Caenorhabditis elegans: one gene and its partner. The protein of the gene in region 2 purifies or fractionates together with the protein of the main gene of each other region. This does not show direct contact. Each region holds a gene or a part of one and is shown on either strand. Other genes may lie near its edges.

Region 1 (7,500 bases), on a different chromosome or scaffold from region 2:
AATAGTCAATCTTCTCACGACAATCGTCTGAGCCCATTCTTTCGAATGTTCCAGATGAATAAGTGTCTGTATAACTTGAAAATGCTCTGAATCGTAAGAAATCAGCGCGACAATATTATCCGAAATCATATAAAATTCAATAATTCGAGCGAGAAGAAGCGGATCAATATCGTCGTCAAGTTGGAACGTTTTTGTGTTTCCGGATGCCACGTGGTATTTGCAGATAGACTTTTCAGTTGCTGTAGTGATGACTTCTGGAGCTTGTTCCGGAGCTTCAACTATGCTCAATACGATGCGAACTTTAAGACCATAAAGAACACTTCCATCACGATTTACAGCAAGATATTGAGCTCCATCAAGACCATTCGGTGTTGAACTCACAAAATATGATTGCTAGAAAATCCTCAATTAATCAGGAAAATCGGCCAACTCGAACATACCTTATGCGTAGACATTTTCGAGTAGAAAAATGATAAGTGCGTAAATTTGAGACTAGATAAAATATAAAATAAATTAGTTTGAAGAAGTTGGAAGTTGATTTAATCAATCATCAGAAAAAAATCATCATCAGAAAAAAAATTACAATATGTTCACGTGAAAACTGATCAAAATAAAGTGAATATGTGACAATGAAATGAGAAGTGGAGAAGTAAATAGGGGAAATAATTTCAGAAATTGATAATAAAAATTAAACTCGGAAAGTCAGTGTGCCCGTGTATGAGAAAGATTGAACATTATAACAGTAGGAGGCAATTCTACAAAATAGCCTAATGCACCATGTTTTTCATTAAAAATTAGTGTCAAAATATAGAAAATCACTTGATTTATCACAGAAAACGCAGGAAAATCGCCTAAAAATGGCAGTTTCCAAGCCATTTTCAGCTATTTTCCGATAAATTAAGTAATGCTCTATATTTTAAGACTTTTTTTTTCATTAAAAGCATTGGAACAAGATGGTGCAATAGGTAGAAACGCCTGTAAGAGATCAGTTGGATGTGCCCTCAAAGACAGTCTGCAGAAAATCAATAAAACGAGTACGATCTTCAGATTTCAAGCGAATAATATCAGAATTAAAGTAGTCATCAACGATACGAAGTGGTGGAGTCATTTTCTTTACTCGTTCGAAAGCACGACCAATACACCTGAAAATAATCAATTTTAAAGTTAAAATTACAGGCCGAATATTACGTTTTAAGTAGTGAATCCTCATAAATTGTGGCAATCGGCATAACTCCAGTGACTACAAGCCATCCAGCACTCTCTCCAGTCAATGGGAACATTGCGATTAGCGGCTTTGTTGTACGTCCTTTCTTCATTGAGGCAAAGGCGCGAATCATGAATCCGGCGGTGTTGTAGAGAAAATGACGTGAGTCGACCATATCCTCGTCTGGAAATATATTTTTTAGACTATAAAAGTACTAAATTTTCTCACTAGTTTTCAATTTTTTCCCATCAACATCAACAAAATTTGATTTAAAAATTTAATGTTTTATTAATTTTCAAAATTTCTGATTTTCTCTGAAAACCCCAACCAAGACCCCAGACCAAAAGAGCAGATGTCCAAAAAGATTTTTACACGCGAAAAATTAATCTGTTCAAAAGAAATTATTTAAAAAATTCAAAACAAATGACGCGAGAAACGTGAAGCCTGATTTTTTTATTTCCCACTCTCCTTCAACTTTTTGAAACAAAATCAGTTCTCGTTAGTTCTAGTTATCGAAACTTGTGAAGAAGGTCTGCAATGGCTGCCGCAAAGAAATTGATGCCAAAGCGAATGAAGAAGAAGATGCAGGTGGAGAGAATGGCTCATGCCAGAGCTTGCAAGGTTGCAAAGGTAAGCATTTTGTTATTTGGAAACATTAGCTTCTCGGGGAATTCAGAATTTAATCAAAAAAATTGCGGGAATTCGAATTTGAGTTTTTTTCAAAAACCGCTTTGAGGATTTCTGAATTCAAAATTTCAACTAATTTTCCCATCAAAAATAAATTACAGAGAGAGGCTCGCGTCGCTGAGGAAGCATCTGGAAAATCAACTGGTGGATCTACTCGCGGAGCCAAGTGATAGCCGAGCCACAACACATGACCCCATCGAACTTCATCTTCTGATTATGCTAATAAAATGCTTAAAAATCGAGTTTTTATTTTCTCCGATTTGACTTTTTCCAAATGATTCTAAAATCCGTACCAATGGACCGTGAGCACGAGAATAGATAATACGGCCCATTTGGAATAATCTCCGATTGATTAATAGCCGCCGCGACGGTTTTCCACGACACTTGAAGCGTTCGTTGGCAGATCGAAGTGAACGTGTTGTTGAGATTCAGGCGATCTTGTCGTTCTCCAGTTATTGATGATCTGAGGATTGATTGACCGGATCGGAAACGATTCATTATCTGGAATAATATATTTTTATTTTTTGGCATTTCAGAATATTAGAAAAAATATTTGATTTATCTGAAAATACCTTTTATTTCAGTTGGAACAATTGGAGAAATGCTCAAATAATTGTCTAAAAGCTGGTAGATTTTGTTCCGAGAGTTCTCAACTTCCAGATAATTTTTCAGCACTTTTAATTGTTTAAAGAGTGCAAAAAGTTATCTGAAAGTTGAAAATTGCTCGAAAAAATCAGAGAATTATTGAGAACTTTTTCAGTTGTTCCAAGTAAATTAATAGTTATTTTCAGATAAACTAAATATTTTTCTATACTTTATCACTGAATTTTAATTTAAAATATTGGAAGAGAATGGCTAAAAATATAAATTTTTACAAAAAAAAACCCTTACAGTTTCACTTTTCGGCATTTCCAATCGTAAAGTGACAGCTCTTGCAACATCACATGCACTCAACTTCCCACAATATCCAAGAGTTCCAAAAAATGTTGCAAACGATGAATCCATTTCTTTTTCCAGAACATCAACCACCAAATTCCGTTGCTCCGTTGGAAGAGCTTCGAATTTTTGTTTTGTTTCGTGAAGAGTGATTCCAAGTTGAGCAAGTAAATGTCGAATATTCACATCTCCTTTTTGTGTCCAATTTTTTGTTTTAATCGAGAAATACTCGCTGACCATCATTGCACTGAACAAATCCCAATGTGAATATAGAGCAAGTGGTAGTTCTCGGCCAAATGTAATATGCAAGAGATCATCCACTTTTCCTTGATTCACTATATTTTTTGGCATAAATCGATGGACAAACGGACGCATTCGATCTACACAGATTTGGGTGTACATTTCAATTGAGATCTGAAAAAAAGTTGTATAAAATACTGTTTTATGGCTTTTTAAATTGTGTAATAGTGCAATTTTAGCGATAATTGGTAATTTGCCAATTTTTTTACTGAAAATTGTTCAAAATCTGTAGATTTTTGGGGTGTTTTAACATAATTATTAATCAATTTGAAATGCTATAGGTCTCGAAACAACACCTTTGTGTGGAATATAAAAATGTCTGCGTCTTTAAAGTTTACTGTAGCTTTCAATTTTCGTTGTCGCGGAATTTTCATCGATTATCTATAGTTTTTTTTGATAAAAAATGTATTCAATTTTTTTTTTCATTCAAAAATTTGTCAAAAACGATGAAATTTCGCAACAACGAGAATTTAAAGCTACAGTACTCTTTAAAGGCGCACATCTTTCAGCAGTTGTCAATACCTCGGGCGCCGTATTTTTGGCGCAAAAATCGCAAAATTTTGTGTCTGGATTATATTATTTTTGAAAAAACCCAAAAATACCATTTTTTGCCCTAAAAACTTGGTCTCTACACGATTTTTTTGGATTTTGAAAGAGTATGCGCCTTTAAGAACTACTGTACCATCGTATTTTCCTGAAATTAAAGATCGATCCGATAAATTGCATCATTTTTTGAGCCAAAAATCGATGTTTTTCTTTCGTCATAAAATTTTTTTTCGATATTTTTCAGAGGAAACCGAAATTTTTGATTCGCTCAAAGCCTTCACACCTAAAACTTACCAATTTATCAGCCATCGCACTATTCAACCCGACCGCAGTAAACCACATAGTTTCAGCAGATACTCTGTTCATTTCTGCGGCCATCTCGAGTAAAGTCACACAGCTCGGCGAGCTGAACCACGTCGATTCGTAGTATCTCCAGAGAATTGTCCTCCTCTGCCTTTCCCATATTTGCATTTCTTCCCTCTTAATCGCTTTCCGTCGAATCTTTTCCATTCGTTGTTCATATGAGATGTACTCTTGATCTTCATCTTCATCTGAATCTTCTTCATCGTCAGAATCCTCTCGAATCACAGATTCAAGATCAGGAATTTGCAATTCGCTCATTTCACTTGGATTTGCCAATAAATGAATTTGACCATTTTCATAGACATTCTCAATGTGAAATGGTCGATGAGAATCAATGACAAATGCTATTGAAGCCGGCGGGATTTGTAGTCGTGTCAGGGATCGTGTTGCTCCGCAATTGATTAGGATATAATGACATTCTGTAATAAAAATGTAATAAAAAATGTTTTTTTATCAATTTATTAAAGGAAACAGCGGAAATCTTGCTCCGAAATTCCGAAAATTGTGATAAAACTTCTTAGAAATTGATATGGCGGTATAGAGTTCCGCCGGATCTCGACAGACAAATATTTGCTAATTGCGAAAAAGTGTGCGCCTTTAAAGAGTACTGTAGGTTCAAACTTTCGTTGATGAGCAATTTTATCGATTTTTCATAGTTTTCTCGTTAAAAATATGTGTTTATTTTAAAAAAAACACTATATATTAAAAAATAAAATCACATAAATCTAACACATCGATATGAATTGCGCAAAAACGGGAGCTCAAAATTACAGTACTATCTTTCGTATCGAGACCGGATACTGTATTTTTACTCCAATTTTGCCACTTTTCCGTGTGGTAACGGTGACGGAATTATTTTTTAATTAAAAATTGGGGATATTTCGACTCTCTCACATACTTTGCTCTTGTGAATCTGCAAAAATCTTCTCCACCGAGCTCCATCCTTCCACTGCAAGAATCGAGAATGGGATGTCATCACAGCGTAGCAGATGCTGAAATTTGAATAATTGTTCTATCTAATGCTCTCACAGCAACCGCGCTCTCTCGTACGCTTCTCTTTCTCTGCACCCTCCCCCTCTTATTGTCTCCATCGACTATTTTTCTCAATATTATGTGAATAAAATTGAGTTCATTTATGAATATGCGACTTTTATCGGGTCAAAAAGCGATCTGTGTCTTCCTTGACCTTCTTGCCACCACGATTTGTTTGGCTCTGTTTTTGGTGAGCAGAAATGAAAGATAAATTGAAATATTTTCAATAAACCGGAGACAATAATTCCAGGATAATTCAAGTGGCGACAAACAGTACATTTTCCTTTGTCTTATAGTTTTTGCCACAGACGCTGCGTGCTTCGGAGTGCTCTTTTACAACATTTACTCCGAATTACGCACAAATGGACAGCAAAACCTCGGAATCCGCGCTTTCTGGAACTTTTTGTATCCATTCAATAATGTTTACACAGGACAGTTCGGTTAGTACGAAAATAAATATATTTTTTGAATAAAAAAAATCGATTTTCAGTATGCATCACTTGCAAAGTGGTTTTCGAGGTTCTCATCGCAATTCGGCTGACATTTGCACTTTCAATTCCATATATTGTCTATTTCATCCCATTTTGGATCTTTTGTGGAATAATTTTTGTCGATCTCACGCGGAGACTTTACTCCGTTCAAAAGAAAATAAATAATCATTGATTTATAAATAAATTGCATTATTACCGTCAAAATCATCGTCGTGCATAATGCATCCGTGTCGACTGAAACGATTAGAACCACACTCTGAAGCAGAAATAACGTGAAAATGGAGTAAAAATGACTTTAAACTCACTTTATCGCCTTTCTTGATTTTATTGTAGAATTCCTGCCGAAAGTTGTCTTCGATGATCATCTGAAATTTATAATATTGATTTAAAATTATTTTTTATTAATTTCAAAAAGATAATAAGCAAAAAATCTCGAGAAAATCACCAGAAAAGTGTGAAAAAAGATGCGTTCGTTTCAAATTAATGGCTTCGCGCGTTGAGAGTGCGGCAGGGCGCAATTGCATTTCTCGATTTCTCGCAAAAACTGAATTGAAAACCGAAAAATCTACAGAAATAAATCTAAAAGTGGGCAATTCAATTGAAAATAATAATGTGCTGTTGCTGAATGACAGAATGGTGGTATGTTACGTCATCTGGAGTGTTTGGAGAAGACGTCATCGCGCACGCGGTGAACGGGGAGGAGGATTGAGTAGATTTGGTCAGAAATGTAAATATTATACAATATTTACAAATTTTTGTATTTCAATTTCAAACTCATAGAAAATAATATGAATAAATACACATCAGGATTTTATGAACACAGACACGCGTAGGTTACATTCAAGGCGAGGAGGTTTTTCTTTCGTAAGTTAAATATCTACGTTTATTGAGTTTTTTCAGTTACTGTATTTAACTTTTTGTTTTTTTCTCTCAAATACCCTCCGGGGGAAGGAGTCCTCCTTATTTTCTTTGATTATTCACAAAATTCAGCTAATTCAGTTGAAAAAGCGAAATTAGTTTAAAGGAGCACGCATTTTCTGGAGTTGTGGGTCTCGCAACGAAAATGTTTTGTTTTGTTTTAGGCGAAATTCAAATATTTAATTTCTGTCGTTTTCAATAATTTAAACAATTTTTGGTCGGAAAATTCCGGTTTCAAATGCATTTAATTGAATTCCTGGCATGTTTCTTTGTTCCCTGCAGCCGCTCGTATCTAGACCACGTGTTACTGGGAAAAGCCATGTGACGCACCGGCGGCGCGTCACTTGGCTTCACACCGCCCATCCACTCCCGTAAAAAGCGGGTATAAAAACCGAGTAGAAGAGAGAGAAAGCTCAGTTTATTTTGGAAGGACGAACGAACTCTTCCTTCCGCTCATACCACGTATCTATTCGTTTTTCTTCCTTTTTGCCACGATTTATTGGCAAATCGGGGACGCTCGTTGATTTTTCTCGCACATTTTTTCTATATTCATAAAATCAAAAGGGTGCTGTAACACTTTCAAATTGCAAATGTCGAGGCAACACTATTTGTTTTGAGTGTATTCCTACAATATTGTACACAATGAGAATATTTTACACAAAACACGGACGCCACCATTGAATATTCATACATGCGCTCTACTCTGGCCATTTTTGTAATCTACTATAACATTTTTAATTTTTAAAGGAAGCTACAAATTCGTCGATTTTTACCTTATTAAAAAGTCTAGGATATAAGAGAAAAACAACTTAATTTTATGAAACCTGCCATATAAATTCGAATTAATAAAATGTTTAACGTGACCTTAACCTCGCTCCCCAGCTCGTGGCACATATTTATGGATATGCCACGTGTACAATAGGGTCCTCTCGAATATTTTCAGTTGCACAATTCTCCGTCTTAATTTTCTTTTTTCCTTATATGCTCTCAACACAATTCTAATTTTCAGCTCAATCAATTGAC
Region 2 (5,147 bases):
GTCCAGCATTGAGAACAGTAAATTTGCATGAGAATATAGAAAAATTTTCTGCGAAAAAGCTGACGTTAAATATACGTTGCGTAGCGGTGAGAATGCAGATAAGGGGTCAACGAACAAAACAATAAGGAGAACACATCGAAAATCAAAAGATAATGAAGAGAACGACTCGCCTTTATAGACATTTTGCCGCCATTTGTTTTAATGAACTCTGCTCTTTCTTTTTTCGAGAACGATCGAAAGATCATCAAAACACAGTGTGTAGTTTGATGCCGCGGGTCTCGCAACGCTCCGGTTGAGACAGGTGTGCGCCTTTAAGTATACGGTAGGTGAGAATCCTCACTGAGGATATTTTCAGGCATGGAAATTTTCAAATTAAATGAAGAAAATATCTAAATCAAAATTTAAACCATCAACCTCTGCACAGAAAATTTTTCCTTTCCAAATATACATGGTAGTCTTGCGTCAGATCGGTAATATAGATCTTCCGCAATCTGATGACCTCTTCTTGAAGAAGATCTTCACGTGAAACCCACAGAAATCAGAAAAATTTGTTATTTTCAAATACTGCACGGATACAATCGTGTCTGTGAAAGATCGACCGGAAATTTAAAAAAAATGAGAAAGAAGTCAGAAATATAGTGATAAAAAATGGTAATCAAAACAGGTATCAAACAAAAAAACAATGAAATAAAAATTATTCGACTTTGAGATTGAGTTCTGCGTAGAAAGCTTTGATGAAAACCATCCATTCCTGATCGAGCCCGAGGTCATTATTGAAGCTTGTGAAGAAATCGTTGAAATTTGTGGTATCGTCGAGTCTCACGGCGGCTTGTGCAAGAAGGATGAAGAATTGCGGGAGGAAGAGATTCCGAATCTCCTGAATTTCTTTCCGGTGTACACGCATTGGATCTCCATTAGCACGTGGGCTCAAAAAGTACTCCGGGCGCACACCAATATTGTTAACCAGCCCACGGAGCATCGGAAGAACAGTCTGAAATTTCAATTTTTTAAAATTTTTTTCACAACAATTTATTCTAAAAATCCTACATCTAAATGTTGTTGAACCATTCCAACTCGCGTATTATGCTCGGCGGCTCTCTTTTTGAGCACCTCTTCCCGCAGAGTTTGCTCAGCACGAGCTCGGACTCTCAGTGAAGCTTCCCAGTCAGCAGCTGTGGTGTTGTCGAGTCGTTTGACTCCTCCGATCATGGAAAGCTCATCATCAGTGATCGGTGTGTACTTGAACATGAGCCCAAGTTTCAGAGCAATAGTGATCATGAAGTTGTTCACATCCTGAAAATTCGGATTTTAAAATGGCCAATATGAAATTGAATATTATTCAGCAGCGAAATTTTGAGTACGGGGTCTCGACACGACAAATTTTTGTTCAATACGAGACGGTTTGCACCTTTAAAGATTACTGTAATTTTAACCAGTGGTTAAAGATTCCGCTGATTTGGATAAGAAATCATACCACGAAAGAGCAGAGCCCATAAAATTCCAGAGCCGCGTGTTCGATTTTATTAATTGCCAGCTGCGATCCAGGTTTTTGCTCAAACAGGGTTCCATCAGTGATCAGTGAAAGTACAGTTGCTTCATTTTCAACAGCTTGTGACAATAGCTTAGGAACTTCGAAATGAAGCGCTTTTCGAATAATTTGCCTAATTACAGACTCGTCAATCGGTGTCGACAGCATCACTTTACGAACTAGTCGATTACATTCTTCAAGAGCAGCCAGTGCAGTCTCTTCTCCACCTATCAAAAGCCAATGCCAGTGATCAATCTGCTCTTCCAAAGTTACAACCTTCGTTTTGTCATCTTTTCTGATTTGCTCAATAAGTGTGCACGCACAGCGTCCGAAATCAATGTCAGATTGTTTCAGCGACTCAGCCAGGATTTCACGTTCTTCATCAGAATCGACAGCTGAAAAGAGAATTTTTTTAAAAATCATCATCAGTTTTTAAATTACCTTTCATAGTCTCCACAATCTCTGGAAGCTTCATATCTTCTGGGAGGAATCTTGAATAAAATGCAGCCATTTTCTTGTGTGATGAGGTTCCACTGCGTGCACGAAGATCATCGAATCCAAGAATAATTACAGCATTTCCATCGTCATTTGGTTCGAAACCACTCGCATAAGAAACTGCGACGAGGTGGAAGAAGATGTCGAGTGCGAGCATGTTCACTTGACAATTTTTATCATTTGGAACAAATTCTCCGACTGTTTCATTTGCGAACTTGTACAGATCTTCAATGTCATCATTGAGCATGTCATCGATCACTCGGAGTAGGATGTATACTTCTTTGGTACGATCAGCCTCTGATCTCAGCTCATCTAAGATTGATTTTGAAGTTAGTGGAACGTTGAACAACGTCGAAATAGTTTCCTGTGTCATGGCTCCCTCGGCGGCAAGAATTCTTGCGAGAACTGCAGAATTTGCATATGCCCATACTTTTTCAATCACTGACTTTCCAGCTTTTAGCATTGGTTGGATATTCCCACGAATCGCAGAAATCAGCATCCAGTAAGCATCATCTTCGCTCCCCTGCGATTGTTCTATCAATTTCTGTGTCATCTGGTAGTACTTTGCGCGTCGAGATCTTTTATATTCCCCAAAGTTCTGTTTAGATGCCTCTAGTGGAATATCAAGTGGGTTCCGGAGCATCGAGTGAAGCTGAAGTTGAGCTCCGATCGCTCCCATTCCTAGATCAATGGCTAAATTCGCAGCTTTGGAAGTTTCTCCACTTCGAATTAATTGGAAGAAAACGTTCATCGCCATTTGCTCGAGAGCTTGATCTTCTTTGGTACCAGGAGCATCTGGATCCAGTGAAGCATCTTTTGGAGCATTGGCTGCTCCAAATGTTGGTCGTTTCAAAGCCATCATTGAATTGATTCTAGAAGATTTGATTCCTTCGAGTTTCCGAACTTTGTCTCCAAGACCTTTTTCATATTGCTGTTCGCTGATCGCTTTCTCACTCCAAAGAAGAAGAGCCTAAAAAATTAGAAATTATGTGTTTAATTGAATAAAAAGTCTAAGATCTTACATAAATCCTTCTAAACTCCACATCTTCTACAACTAGTTTGCTAAGCAAAGAAACTTCCACAGTCTCATCATATTCATGAGCCAACGCGGTATAAATTGAAAGAACACTGGCGATTTGCACGGCTTCATTCGCGTATTTTTGTGAACTGGCGGAATAATTAGATCCTGCAGGAAGTTTTCGAGTCTGCATTTCTACTTCTGAATAGATCTGAAAAAATATTACATTTATCAGAGGCCTTTTTCAAGTGAATCAAACCTCATGAAGTCTGGTCCACATAAGTGGCGAGATTTGCCCTTGAGGAATATCGAACTCTCCGAAAGCCAATGCACATAATTCGTGGTACAGTTTTTCTGAGAGATTTGTGTGAACTGCAAATTATATATTTTTAAAATAGTTTTCCTTTCGCATCGAGTGTTAAACTCACAAATTGTAGTGTATTTGAAAGCGGTTTCATTTTTGCGCGCGATTTCATCGTTAGAGTCGTCGAAGGAGTTGGAAGAATTGTCCCCCGAAGCGAACAAGTCTGTCATTGTGCTAAAAATATTTTTTTAAAGGAAAATAAAGTTTTAAAAACTACATGAAACAGAAAAAAAAATCGTTTTACACGACGAAAACCCTTCGAAATTTGAAAATTTTTGCTTAAACGAAAATAATGGTAGTGCGCTCCATTGAGAACACAATGCGCGGACTTTCAAAAAAGAGGGGTTTATTCAGGTTTTCATAACTTTTTTGAAACACAGAAATGGAAGAAATTGCAATTTGAAACTTTTCCGAGTAGTGCCTTTCATCTTCAAATTGTTTAATAAGGTGCAATCAGCTATAAAAAACAAAAATGAGAGCCGACGTTATGGGTTGATGAGAGCTCTTATTTTAAAGCACATCGTATTTTTGCGTTCCAGTAGCAGCTATCCTCTAAATCATCTGTTTTGTGTGCATTGTGACTGTCTATAAATCGATCAATACGTGCTCCTACGCTTGCGTTTGCTACTTACATAAGGATATATTCTTTGAACCACATGTTTTGTGTGAATTGAGACTGTGTATAAGAATGTAAGGAGGAGAGGGGCCGTTCGTATCGTTCGTCTTATGCACAGGCTCAATGCACACAAAACAGGGTATATTGTATACTCAAATTAGAGAAAAACATATGGAGAGGACAATAGACCAAAGTTTTGATTTAATAACTAGAATGGAACCATTTCTGGAGCACTATTTCGTACGAAAAGCTTGCGGCTTTGTGCAATCAATCTCCTAGGACTTTGGCGGCCTGTCCATTTTTGTTATGTTCGAACAATTGAAAAAGTTATTTTTTTAAAAATTCAGGAGAATTCTATAAATTATTTAAAAAGTTATATTCAATATGTTGGACTGCTTTCTGTTTCTAGGGAAGAAACCTACACCTCCTCCTCTAAAAAGTCCTTATAAGGGGACTATAGACCAAAAAAAAGATTCCTTGTAAAAAAATGTTTGCCCTTTTTTGGTACTTCCTTCCTTGGGCTTCTCAAGTGTAATCCATCACATCAATTACACCAACCGACAAGAAAACCAAAAAAAAAAAACGAAAAGATGCTAGTTTTGCATGGGAGCCGTAGTGCACCTCTTCTTTTTCGTCTCTCTTTGTTTCTGCCTCTCCACTCCTTCACCCACTATTTCCAGCTCACCGAGCCATATTTAGTAGCTTCATATCTTTAGTTTATCAATCATATTTGTTAAAATTAATTTCGAGTATTTTCATCGCTAAATACCTGCTTTTCAAAATCGTCGCCACCTATTCCCAAAATCGATCACCGGATTTTTTTCTGCCGACTTCAGTTAAAAGACAACACAAAATGCAATGGTAAAAGGTGAGTTTGGAACAAGTTCTGCAAAAAAAACGAGAGAGAAGACCCCCGAAACTTGATAGTGTGGGAGAGGAGGAGCATAAGAAAGAAGAAAAAAAAGATGTATTGAATTTCGAACATCATGTTGAATTACAACAAAAAATACGCAGATATTTTCAACTTTTTGCGTTTATTAAAAAATTAATGCATATTTTCAAAATGTTTAAAGCCGCTGATAAACGTTCAGATTTAAATTAATGAAAATTTTTACAAATTTCTAAT

The links. The genes of interacting proteins can lie anywhere in the genome.
Region 1: the proteins of npp-5 (region 2) and evl-18 fractionate together in Caenorhabditis elegans (co-fractionation; one large-scale study listed by BioGRID). This does not show direct contact.

What each region holds. Positions count from the first base shown.
Region 1 is NC_003281.10:3,729,116-3,736,615, forward strand, and holds evl-18 (Cell division control protein 45 homolog), read right to left. Parts: upstream 5,925-7,500; coding exon 5,865-5,924; intron 5,816-5,864; coding exon 5,756-5,815; intron 5,737-5,755; exon of another isoform or gene 5,732-5,736; coding exon of another isoform or gene 5,559-5,731; intron 5,509-5,558; coding exon of another isoform or gene 5,319-5,508; intron 5,259-5,318; coding exon of another isoform or gene 5,178-5,258; exon of another isoform or gene 5,140-5,177; intron 5,029-5,139; coding exon 4,935-5,028; intron 4,456-4,934; coding exon 3,968-4,455; intron 3,242-3,967; coding exon 2,783-3,241; intron 2,393-2,782; coding exon 2,185-2,392; intron 2,134-2,184; exon of another isoform or gene 2,062-2,133; coding exon of another isoform or gene 1,993-2,061; intron 1,835-1,992; coding exon of another isoform or gene 1,742-1,834; exon of another isoform or gene 1,660-1,741; intron 1,388-1,659; coding exon 1,189-1,387; intron 1,143-1,188; coding exon 986-1,142; 3' UTR 525-985; downstream 1-524. Other genes in the region: F34D10.9 (CPSF_A domain-containing protein), read right to left, coding at 1-393, 441-455; F34D10.8 (uncharacterized protein), read left to right, coding at 1,742-1,834, 1,993-2,061; F34D10.3 (Serpentine Receptor, class E (Epsilon)), read left to right, coding at 5,178-5,258, 5,319-5,508, 5,559-5,731.
Region 2 is NC_003280.10:11,596,231-11,601,377, forward strand, and holds npp-5 (Nuclear pore complex protein 5), read right to left. Parts: upstream 3,580-5,147; 5' UTR 3,576-3,579; coding exon 3,470-3,575; intron 3,414-3,469; coding exon 3,301-3,413; intron 3,253-3,300; coding exon 3,046-3,252; intron 2,994-3,045; coding exon 1,970-2,993; intron 1,924-1,969; coding exon 1,475-1,923; intron 1,294-1,474; coding exon 1,048-1,293; intron 992-1,047; coding exon 695-991; 3' UTR 537-694; downstream 1-536. UniProt on the Caenorhabditis elegans protein: Involved in kinetochore assembly and chromosome segregation during embryonic mitosis.